Oryzias latipes: one gene and its partners. The protein of the gene in region 1 binds, or shares a complex with, the protein of each later gene. Links are inferred from orthologs where the notes say so. Each region holds a gene or a part of one and is shown in the gene's direction. Other genes may lie near its edges.

Region 1 (3,752 bases):
TTTAGCACCCTCTAGTGAAACGTTTTGGAGACTGCAACGCATGCGCAGACTAAACCTGTCCATTGACGAGGCCAAATACACTTATAACGGGGGGGGGGGGGGGGGGGGGTGCAAAGGATTCATTTATATCCATATTCGCACACCATATTCGCACACTTTTTTTAAAACTTTTTTTAAGTTACTAATTTACTATTTTCAACGAGGTGCCGTTGAAAATAAAAAAATGCCCTAAACAATATTCTCCTACAGAAATAAAAGTAACAAATAAATATAGAATTAAAAGAAAGTCTTTCCCTGGTGTTTTTTTTATACAACACAGCGTTACTTCCCCTGTCAAAATGGGGAATTGATTGTTTTTAACAATTATCTTTTTTTTTTTTGCTTTTATATCAATGTAGTATATCTTTAAGTTCAACAGCACTTACATTTATGCAAGAGAATATCAATATTTGACATTGTTATGTGACTATAATGTTATATATAAAAACAAGTATTTTCTTTTTTTAATCACAAAAAGAGTCAAAGTTCTTAATTGAAAAGACTGATAGGTATTGCATTCTCTATTATCCTGCAATACCCTAAAACATAGAAGGCTGAAAAGAGTACACTGTATTTTTAATTTTGTAGACCAAAAGGTTTATAGCACTACTTAGACATCATAAAGTTTTTAACTGTAGAGTAGTAAAAATAAAACACCACAGAAAGACCCACAAAGCTCAAAGGAGGCTCTAGGGATCATGTTGACTAGCCTAATATCACAAATTCGTATTAAAAATTAAACCATATATCTGAAACAACTTAAAGATATATGTATGTTGAACATTTTATTTAAAAAAATAATTTTAAGCTTTAAAACTGCAAAACCGCAAATGTATTTCCAACAACTGTGAATTATGCTAACGACATAAAATAAAAATACACCTACGTATTATTTATTAAATGTTGATACTTAAAAAACAAACAAACTGGTTACATGCTTGAACAAAAGAAGATGGCAAAATAAAGACATATAAGAAAATAAAGCACATAAAAAATACTGGGTTGTCATATAACTTATTGTCCTCAGCAAAAGTGAGAAGTTTTCTTGCTTTTTGATTTTCATAAATTCGAATGAATTAAAATATAAACAAATCTCCTTGTAAAATACATTTTCAATGTGGTAGATTTTTTGAAAAAAATATTTTATTAATATAAAACTTGCCCAGTATTATCAAAAACATTCAAAACTAAATCAAAAAACAACATGCTAAGTGGACACTAAACATTTAACTTTTTTCCCCTAAACATTTAACTACAATACCCATAATGCACATCGTCGAAACCGTTTTCTTGTTTTCTTTTTTTTTACCGGATGTAGCATCACATGAATTGACTGTCAACATGCAAGATGGCCACACATCACAGGCAAAATGCCGCTGGGCGGAGGAAAGTACAGGTACGTTTTCTGAGTTTTATAAGAACTTAGTGTGTGGGAACAATGTAATTGTTGTCTTTTAGGTTTGCACAAGTGTCTCATACCTGCTGAAGCGGCAGCAAAAAATCACTTGCGGAAGCGGCGTGACAACTATGACTCATGTCATGGTGCAAGCCGGCTAACCCTGTTAGCTTAGCTTAAGTAAGGTGTTAGCACCGTTGGAAAAGGAGCCTCTAACTTACAATTTGCTTCTTCAAATACCTTAGTTGCATATCCGAAAAACTTTACATGTCAGTTGGCCATTTTCCCCTTTGCGTAAATGCCGGTGTGTTTTAGCTAAATCTGACGTAACGGTTACGATGATGCTGGTTAAGCTACACTGTGTCCTGGCTGCGTCTAATTGCTGGTACGACGAAAGCGTCTCCGTATATATCTGCCATTTTCTGCCCATTCGTTATGCTTCACAAGGGACGCTATCTTTAATTTCATAGTGTGTTCTAATTATACCGGGAGGTTTTGTGTCGGTTACGTCTTCGTCCCCTTACGGTGATGCGAGTGCGTGAAGCGTGTTCCACGTCCAAAAGTGGGTGTGTTGTGGGTTCAACACTGCCTGTAAGCCTGAACCAGGCGCCGGTCCAAGAGAGAGGCTGACTGCAGTCGCATCTTTGTGCCACAGGTGTCTTACGTTATTAGGGACGAGGTGGAGAAGTACAATCGAAACGGGGTGAATGCACTCCAGCTAGATCCTGCACTCAACCGGCTCTTCACTGCTGGGAGGGACTCAATCATCCGGATATGGAGTGTCTATCAGCACAAAGTACAGTTTATGACTTCAATTAAATATATACATTTTTTTGTTTTAGAGTTTTGCAGCTGCATATAAAGCGACAGAGATACTCTTTTAAATGATGCTACGTTTTTTGCAGCAGGACCCATACATTGCATCAATGGAGCATCATACAGATTGGGTAAACGATATAGTCCTTTGCTGCAATGGGAAAACATGTGAGTTTATAAGTATTAACAGCAGATTTGATCCAAAGTTTGTGTTTAGCCTCTAGCAACTCACCTCTCCTTCTCCTCCAGTGATATCTGCCTCTTCAGATACAACGGTGAAAGTATGGAACGCGCATAAAGGATTTTGCATGTCAACGTTACGAACGCACAAGGACTATGTTAAAGCTTTGGCGTACGCCAAAGACAAAGAGCTTGTAGCATCGGCCGGTCTGGATCGGCAGATCTTTCTTTGGGACGTAAACACGCTAACTGCCCTCACTGCTTCGAATAACACAGTCACTAGTGAGTACACCTATAGTCATGTGATGGGTTTAGCCCGCTTTCATGGGTAGACGTGTTTGTGATCCACCTTTGGGCTTTTCTGTGTTCCTTCAGCGTCATCGCTGAGCGGGAACAAGGACTCAATCTACAGTCTGGCAATGAACCAGATGGGCACAGTTATTGTTTCTGGATCCACTGAAAAGGTTTGACACACATCTCCAAAAAAAAAAAAATCTATGGTGAACCAATGCACAAAATTTTTTCTTTTTGCTTTGTTTTCATATTTCTTATATTTTTTATCTTGCTTTAGCCTGAAGTTAGATCTGTAAGATTTTAAATCTTGACAGCGTGAGTTTTTGTTGTTTGTTTTTTTGTCCTAAGAATCCTGCTAGTCTATTGCCTCTACTAAGTGTTGTTGTTTTTGGAAGTTTTTTCCTCCTAAAGGGGGGTATCCTCTCTATTGTTCCAACATTGAATGCTCTTTATGAGGCAGTACAATGACAATTCTTCTATGTAATAAATCTGTCACACACATTCATTCACTTAGGCCTTATAGTAGTAATCTTGGCAAAATTAGACTACAAACATTTTAAATATATCTTCTTTGCCTTGAATTTTGCTTTGGTTTTTTTATTTGTTTGAGGCCAAATTGGTTGTTAATTGTTGCTTTAATTCAGCTGCACTATAAATTGTAATCAAACTGTAAGGTTTGTTTATCTACATAAATTTAGCTCTTTCTCCAACCTTCAGGTTCTGAGAGTGTGGGATCCTCGGACATGTGCAAAACTCATGAAGCTAAAAGGTCACACGGACAACGTCAAGTCCTTGCTGCTGAACCGAGACGGCACGCAGGTGATTCACCAAAGCGCTTCAAAAACCTCATCATGCTGAGCCGCAGGAATCCCAAACTCTTTAATCCCGCTCTGCTCCCCCGGCAGTGTCTGTCCGGCAGCTCGGATGGGACCATCCGCCTCTGGTCTCTGGGCCAGCAGAGGTGTATCGCCACGTACCGAGTGCACGACGAAGGCGTGTGGGCCCTGCAGGTCAACGAGGCCTTTAC
Region 2 (3,752 bases), on another chromosome or scaffold:
CTCCCCCTTCAGGATCACTCCTACTACATTCCTCTTTCCAACCACATTGTGATAAAACAGCTGGAACCTGCTCCTAATTTATTACCCTTTCTCGTTTCCATCTATTCTCTTGAATATGCAGGATATCCACCTTTCTTTTTTCCAACATGTCATTCAACTGTGTAGTTGTCACTGTCAAAATCCCTACATTCAAAGTTCCACACTCCAAGTCCAACACATCTCTTTCTTTTGGTTTTGTTGCCAACTAACATGGCTTCTTCCTTGTACAGAAGTCTAATCTCCACTGGCACCAGTAGCATTGGTGGCGGTCAGTGTTAACCCAGACCAAAAATTATCTGGAGTCAAAGTTTGGTTCATGATTTGTTCGATTTAGTTTACATCGAATGCCACTCTTGACACAACCTTCTGAATTTACCCGCACTTGGGACAGTGACACAAAAGACCTGAATTGTGCCCTCTTGTGGTGACAGTAATTTTCTAATGACTAACAATATTCACTTATTTTTGGCACTTGATTTGGACATATTATACTGATTTCTGTAATAATGGCATGTCTACTTACGTAATTAATATGTATTTCGTCTTTGTCATTTGATTCTTTAATAATTTTTGATTTTTTTCAATGACCTGCACTTCAACAGGGATCAGAAATTAAGAACAGTATGAAGATAATTTAGGTAAAGAAAAAAAAGCTAGGTAAAATATAACTGGAGGGGAATTATATAGGATCACATCTAGGCAATTAATTTAAATAATTTGACAAATTCAATATTGTATAGTTTCAATGTGTCATGTTCTGTACGTACAAGCTAATGGTGGTATTTGTGATTAAGAGTAATTAGATTTACCAATCTAATTTCTTCAACTCGTATAACTGCCATTATAAAATAAATATACGATATTATGTTGTTCACATAATCAATTTAAATATTTTCTGATAAATCTATTAATCATTCACACAGATGGCAGTTTCGGAAAGTACATTGAGTTAATCAAAGAGGGCTGACTGCAGAAGCGAAACCGGAAGTAGTGTGCGGTGAGTGCTCTCGCGTCCAGCTCCGTCCTCCGCGAGCTCAGCAGTATTTCGTCCTCTCTAAGCAGTCTTGTCAGCGCGCGGCGGTGTTGTGGAAGATGGCGCTAGCCGAATGGAAATCCTAATGACAGTTTCCAAATTTGCCTCTTTTTGTACCATGGTAAGTGGACGGCAGTTTTACATAGTGATTATTAGGACTTTTTGCCTATGTAGAAACTGACAGTACTATGTTATTTGAGATTTAAATCTCGGAATTTTAAATGAAAACAGTGAAAATCGGATTCCCGTGCTAGCCGAGGAGGTTTCTGATGCTAACCGAGCAGCCACCCTCCTCCTTCTGAGCCTCTTCGCTTTTGCCGCAAATCCTTGAATGTTTATATTTGTTATTTATTTACTTAAAGTTAATGCTCCATTATTATTATTTTCATATTTACACGCCCTATTTGGTTGTAGTGACTGTGCACCTGCTGTAGGGGTTCAAAGCTAGCTTGCTAATGTGAAGCTAAAGCAATGTTTAGCTTCCCAGCAACTGGATTGAGGAAAACTTCCGATAAAAACACGTCCGGACTGTGTTTTGAGGGAAGCGTTGAACATTGTAGTGATGCTGCAGCGTCAACTACTATCAAATAACAGTTTTAGTGTTGGCAATGACGACACAGATTATTAGCTGCGCAGTTGTTCTTCAGACAGTTTGCTCGACAGTGGTGATACTAGGATTACATCTCTAGAAGTGCTTTTTCCCTCAGAAGTTGACAGCATCCTCCTCGAAAATAACCGTTATACTAACTGAAAGCTTGTTTATTATATATATAATGGTGCCACGTTTTGTTGCAAAAAGTACTAAAAATAAATAGAATTCAGGAATGGAGGCTGTTTATACAAACACCTGTGAAATGATGGGCTGCACTCTGGAGCTCAGTGAATTCCAGGGTGGGATTGTATTAGGATCCCACCTACAACAAGTCAGTGATTTCATACCATAGTTGGAGGGACATCAGCTTAACCACAAAGTGTCCGTCAGTTTATGTGGGCTTCGAGTGAGCAGATCATGAGACACATGACATGGAAATTTCTGCACTTAAGATCTGATTCATTGGTATAAAAGCATAACATCACCAGACCGTAAAGCAGTTGAGATGTGTTCTTTGGAGTAAGAAATTCAGGTTTTCCATGTAGCAATCACATGGATGTGTTTGGGTTTGATGTTGGTCTGACTGCACTGTGCTAAATGTGAAGTTTGTTGAAGGAAGGATTATGTTTGTTTTTCTGAAACTGGGCTTGGATCCTTTGTTGTAGTGAAAGAAACTATGAATACATTTCGATACTGTCAACTGTCTTTGGGGGGATAGGTTTAGGATGTTTTTGTTGCTGTTTCAATATGACTGTGTACCAGTACACAAAGGAAGATCCACAAAGACCCTCGTCTTTGGTGTGGAAGAACTAGTCTGCACAGAGGCCTCTCCTTAACCATCCTTTGGGATGAACCAAAGTGAAGACTCTAAGACGGACTTTTTCATCCAACATCGTTATCAGACCTCACCATTTTACCTACTGAGAAGAATGGAAGTTGTTATCGATGAAAATGATGGACTGACTTATGGATTATGAATAAGTACTTGTGGAAATCCAACATTCATCCCTCCCTCCACCCCTTCCTGCCTTCCTTCCCTCTCTCCCTCACTCTTCCACTCATCTGGGACCATATTATGCAGGAATGTTTTAATAGTCTAAAAAAATGAAAGAAAACAAATCTATTAAGTAAAAACAATTTAGCTTTGATGAAATTGTAATTGTTACTCTGTGGACCGCTACCTACATTTTGTTTTGGATAACATAAAAATTATCTTCTTATTCAGTCTCTCTCTCTATTTATTTATTTTTTAACAAGTTGTTGTGCAGACTGAGTATTTGAGTTTAAAAATAGTTCAGATGCATTTGATTGGTGCACATAGATTTGGAAGCAACTTGGCACCAATTCCTTTAAATAAAAGGATTCCTAATAGTTTTTTCCAAGTTGACATGGGCTTTAGAGGTAACAACCCCCCTAGAAAAAACCTAATCTCAGTTTATCGCTTATTAAATGTTAACAAGTTATGGTGACTAGTTTTTAAGTTTCACTTAAATAGCTTCAAAATAATGTTCAAAATCTATTTACTTTCAATGCTCGGTCTGATACATTCACCCAAACAGGGTCGAAAATCAGTTTTAATTAAATAACTCTTTGTAACAAGATTAGATGCTGGCTCATGAGCTGAAAAACATATATGATGATGGTGATTGTATTCTTGAAATGACAAAAATATTTTTAAAATCTGTCCTTTTGAGCCTCAAAACTTTAACCTTTTGACCAAAATGTGACCTTTAAAATCATGGTTGCATGTAAAAGTGTTACTAATGTGTTTGTGTTATTTTAACAAAGGTAAGGTGACTCTTGGTGCTTGTATGTTGTGGTGTTTTAGGGCGCCAATGCCTCTGCTCTGGAGAAAGAGATTGGATCTGAGCAGTTTCCGGTCAACGAGCACTACTTTGGTCTGGTCAATGTAAGTGACTGATTTGAAGTGCAAAACTTTATTTATTTAAAACTGTTTCACCTAATTTAAATGATACTCTTAAGCAGCTCTCAGCAGCTTTTTTATTAGCACATTTTTTTGTTTTTAATTCATGAGATTTTTGACAGTTATTATTTTTGGGTTATTGTACATTATTTATTTGTGTTTTT
Region 3 (3,752 bases), on another chromosome or scaffold:
TGACTGTAGATGCATGAATAATGTATTGCGTCAGAACAATTTTTGCCAACAAAAAAAGGATTTAAATGTATTTTTTAAAAGACTATCAACATTTTTATCTACAGAAGACAGTAGATTAATAAATGGTCATTAACTCGTATTAATTAGATTTTAACTCTCGTTAACTCTCCCTTTAAATCTCGTAAATTACAAGAAAAACGTCATAGATTGACGAGGAAAAAACACCAAAGTTTTCCGTTTATCGGAGCCTAGTTTGAAGATGAAATATGTGGAGCCTTTTGTGAAGCTTTATTTCTGGAAATGTTTTAAAAAAAAGAGATTCTGAACCTTTTGATGACTCAAAATCAGATTATTGTCAGTGGAGCTGTCTTTCTGGGGTTCAGTGTCGGTAAAGCGGAGTTTATGTAAAATAAGGGTTCAGAAACAAGTTTGGGTGTAGAGGACCGCTGCAGCCTTTATTCTCCTTTTCATTCACATAACCTGAAGTTCATTTGTCACATTACGTCATGAACCTGTCATCCAAACACCAATGCAGAGGTAAACAGTGTTACATACGCCCCCTCCTCCAGATGAAACGTCCCGTTTCAACATAAAACAATAAAGAGGAATGAAAATAGTCTGTTGTATTAGCACTAGAACGTTGAAAATGACAAAAAAAAGTGCTGCTCCTCAGACGGAAGCATCACACAGACGTAGAAATCTTGTCTTTCATAGAGGAAGAAAGGATTGAAGTGGACATCTGCAGGGACACCGATGTCTTCATCAACGGCTGCAGAGATCCTGCAAACCACCCATCAATAAATAAAACGTTAATAAATCATAAATCAAACAAATGAGCTTCCAAACATTTGGAACGTTATCAATAAACATTCAGCTCACCTGATCAACTACGTTTAGTCGGTCTGCTTTGCTGCTGCGTGGCGTTCACTTTAATCTCGTAAATTTATGAGTTTTTTCTTGTAAATCTACTACTTAAAGTCTTGTAATTTTACTTTTTTATGTATTTGGTGGCCCTAAAACGTGTAATGACGTCATATCCTCCGTTTAAAATCCGAATTGCTTTTAAGATCCAGGGCACTACATTGTGTTTTAGTTGTTAGGGATTAGGGTGGGAATTCGGACACAGCCATGTTCTACTTTATCCTGCAACTTTATACTTAGTGTAACATGTGTGTGATTCAAGCTCATGTGTGTTTGATTTAAGCTTGAGTGTTTTGGTACATTGGTACCTTTAAGGCACATTAAAGCTTGTAAATCAGTGATGGAGGCAGTTCTTGTTCAATGCATTTTTTATTACAAAAAATAAAATAAAATATTTCCACAATAATTTAAATTATTCATTAACATAAAAATGTCTGAACATTTTTTGTATCAAAACGTAGCCCTCATATATTTAAACACTTCTCGCAGAAATGACGTTTTAAAAATAAAAAAGAAAAAGCGATAATTTTCGTAAAGTTATAACTGCATTTCCCACAATGCCTTACATTTTGTATTTGGGTTTTTATTGGTCTTTTTTTAAGGCGAACCCAGTGTTCCGTCTCTGTGTGTGGCTGTTTCTTCCTGTCAATCAACCAAACCCATTTGTTGACCAATCAGAGTTGGTTTTACCCTACTGGGCGGGACTTTGACCCATCAGGTTTGTTTCCTGGTCGCGGCTAGCAACCCGCCGTCTGGAACTTTGTGTGTCTGTTTTCCCCGGTTCTCGGTCGGTTTCCAGCGGCGGGCTGTTAGACATGTTTCCGAGAGGGAAGCCGCATCGAGTCTGAAGCAGGCGGGACCGTCGGCACAGCGCTGGCCCGGCTGCTCGGCGCTTCTCGGGGGTTGCAGTCTGGCCTCTAACCGCGGCCGTGAACCAACTTCATCCTCGCGCCGAGTGTTTATTTTAAGAAGATGGCGGTGAGGAGGACACTGTGAACTAAATGACTGTCAGAAACATCGCCTCCATCTGTAATATGGTGAGTTCCTCTCTGCCTTCAGCTGGGATGTCAGAACGGCGCTGGGTTGATTTGTCACAGAGATTGATTGACAGGTGAGGTGCAACTGACAGCTCGTTGGTGATTGCATAATAATGCGATGCTGCTGCTACAGGGAGCCCGGACATCCTACTCCTCACTAATCTGTGCTCGTGTTGCGTTCAGGGACAGGGCAGAGTGGGGAATAACAGAGCTGCGTTACTGCCAGTAGTATTTGCTTTAGTTAGACAGGACGCTGATGTCCAAACTAGTCTGCAACCATGTAGCCATGCAGCCATGCAGCCAAGCAGGCATGCGTTGACGTGTATCGCTGCATGACTTTGTAAATCCTGTTCTCCAAAAACCCCCGGCCTTCAGGCTCTGAAACTAGCCATAAGAGTCTGGTTGATGTCTGAAGTTCTTGGCTGGATTTCACCACCAAACCCCAGAGTTCCATTCAAATTCACAGTATTGACCCAAATAGATTCCGTTATTGCAGATTTTTCAACTGAACATCTAAATGTTCGTTAGTTTGCCTAATGAGGAAAGTCCTCATAACTGGTGATTCAAACAAGGCAAAGGTGGAAGAAGCATTGAAGACATTCATTGCACAAGTAGTAACAATTATTATAAACGTATTATAAACGTCTGGCAGAAAAAGTGAAAGCTGGTAGGGATGTGTGAACAGAGGCCTTAAATACCAAGAAACTGTTTTAAAAGGAAAGTGATCCATTTGTTTTACGAGTTCATTTGCATCGTGCAAAGCCTCAGTCACATCCACCCAGGGTTGCAGACTTCTGCGTTGTCGCGGAGGGTTGTAGACAGGTGTGGCTGCATCTTAAGGGGAGCACAGGTGTGCCTCACAGTTCTCTTTAAGTTTATCTGGTCACCTCAAGGGGCATCATGAAAGTGGAACATACCATTATATTTCCTCCCCCTGTTTAGCACATGCTAACTCACCGAGTTCATCTGAAATGTGTTTGGGACAAATGAATTGGTCATAGTGTTCATTATGACCTGTTGCCCACAGCACACCTTTTTGAAAAAAATGTGCATGAACATTTTCACTCTATGGGATCACAGAATGATCTACGACCTCGATATCCCGTGGGCCTCCTTAATTGTTCATTTTTTGCTTGCAGAAAGCCCATGTCCTCTCCCAAAGACAGTTGTGACTAATGCACAAGTTATGATTGGGAATTGACTTTTTTGATAACCAGTGCCATTCTTCATGCAAGAAATGTTTCAAACTGGAAGTATGAAATCCCACAGATCCTGAAACCGTCATCTTATTGTCTCTTTATGTGTCAATGGAATCCATGTCAGTAGATTTGTGCATAAATATGTCCTCCCCCTGTTTAACACATGCTAACTCACTGAGTTCATCTGAAATGCGTCTGAAACCCCAGCCAGCACCTTTGTGTCTGTAATGCACAGAGCTCTGTTGTGATGGGGTGGGGGGGTGCATTGTTCATTTACCATGCGCTCTTCTTCACATCACAGACACGGAGCACAAAAAACAGACTTGTTGTTTCACTGGTTTTGTTTGCATGGATGCTTCAGCATGACTGTGGGGTGTACTCTCTTGAATGAGGATCATTCAGGCGTACATGAGTTATTAGAACTTTCTTTAATCCGTCGTTCATTTACATTCTTTGCTCAGACCTCACGACTTTCCAATCACATGTTCTCTTCCCGTCACTCTATCTGAACTCCCCCTAGCGCTCACAAACAAAGCAAACATCTCAGGACCCCTTAGCTGTCCAAAACTGCCTGAATCTTAATATCCCTGTGCTT

What was found.
Region 2: the proteins of wdr48 (region 1) and usp12 are in contact, whole or in part, in a crystal structure (PDB 5K1C), measured with the Homo sapiens proteins. The link is inferred for Oryzias latipes from reciprocal best matches to the Homo sapiens genes WDR48 and USP12. Residues at the interface, in NP_065890.1 of Homo sapiens: Arg50, Trp77, Asp118, Tyr119, Lys121, Leu137, Ser170, Tyr172, Thr188, Asp211, Asn212, Lys214, Ser230, Gly254, Trp256, Arg272, Ile363, Ile364, Leu424, Lys425; in NP_872294.2 of Homo sapiens: Arg185, Leu187, Thr188, Cys189, Glu190, Thr191, Ser227, Lys230, Cys236, Arg237, Ser238, Lys239, Gln240, Glu241, His243.
Region 3: the proteins of wdr48 (region 1) and usp46 are in contact, whole or in part, in a crystal structure (PDB 6JLQ), measured with the Homo sapiens proteins. The link is inferred for Oryzias latipes from reciprocal best matches to the Homo sapiens genes WDR48 and USP46. Residues at the interface, in NP_065890.1 of Homo sapiens: Arg50, Trp77, Asp118, Tyr119, Lys121, Leu137, Arg139, Ser170, Tyr172, Thr188, Asp211, Asn212, Lys214, Ser230, Gly254, Trp256, Arg272, Ile364, Leu424, Lys425, Gly521; in NP_073743.2 of Homo sapiens: Arg181, Leu183, Asn184, Cys185, Glu186, Thr187, Cys222, Ser223, Glu224, Lys226, Cys232, Cys233, Ser234, Lys235, Gln236, Glu237, Gln239.

Annotation. Positions count from the first base shown.
Region 1 is NC_019875.2:17,404,454-17,408,205, forward strand, and holds the start of wdr48 (WD repeat-containing protein 48), read left to right. Parts: upstream 1-1,305; 5' UTR 1,306-1,387; coding exon 1,388-1,435; intron 1,436-2,090; coding exon 2,091-2,231; intron 2,232-2,340; coding exon 2,341-2,419; intron 2,420-2,500; coding exon 2,501-2,713; intron 2,714-2,806; coding exon 2,807-2,895; intron 2,896-3,442; coding exon 3,443-3,544; intron 3,545-3,630; coding exon 3,631-3,752. UniProt on the Homo sapiens protein: Regulator of deubiquitinating complexes, which acts as a strong activator of USP1, USP12 and USP46. Enhances the USP1-mediated deubiquitination of FANCD2; USP1 being almost inactive by itself.
Region 2 is NC_019878.2:17,502,709-17,506,460, forward strand, and holds the start of usp12 (ubiquitin carboxyl-terminal hydrolase 12), read left to right. Parts: upstream 1-1,057; 5' UTR 1,058-1,145; coding exon 1,146-1,193; intron 1,194-3,492; coding exon 3,493-3,573; intron 3,574-3,752. UniProt on the Homo sapiens protein: Deubiquitinating enzyme that plays various roles in the regulation of the immune response and inflammation.
Region 3 is NC_019862.2:988,120-991,871, forward strand, and holds the start of usp46 (ubiquitin carboxyl-terminal hydrolase 46), read left to right. Parts: upstream 1-1,616; 5' UTR 1,617-1,922; coding exon 1,923-1,958; intron 1,959-3,752. UniProt on the Homo sapiens protein: Deubiquitinating enzyme that plays a role in behavior, possibly by regulating GABA action. May act by mediating the deubiquitination of GAD1/GAD67.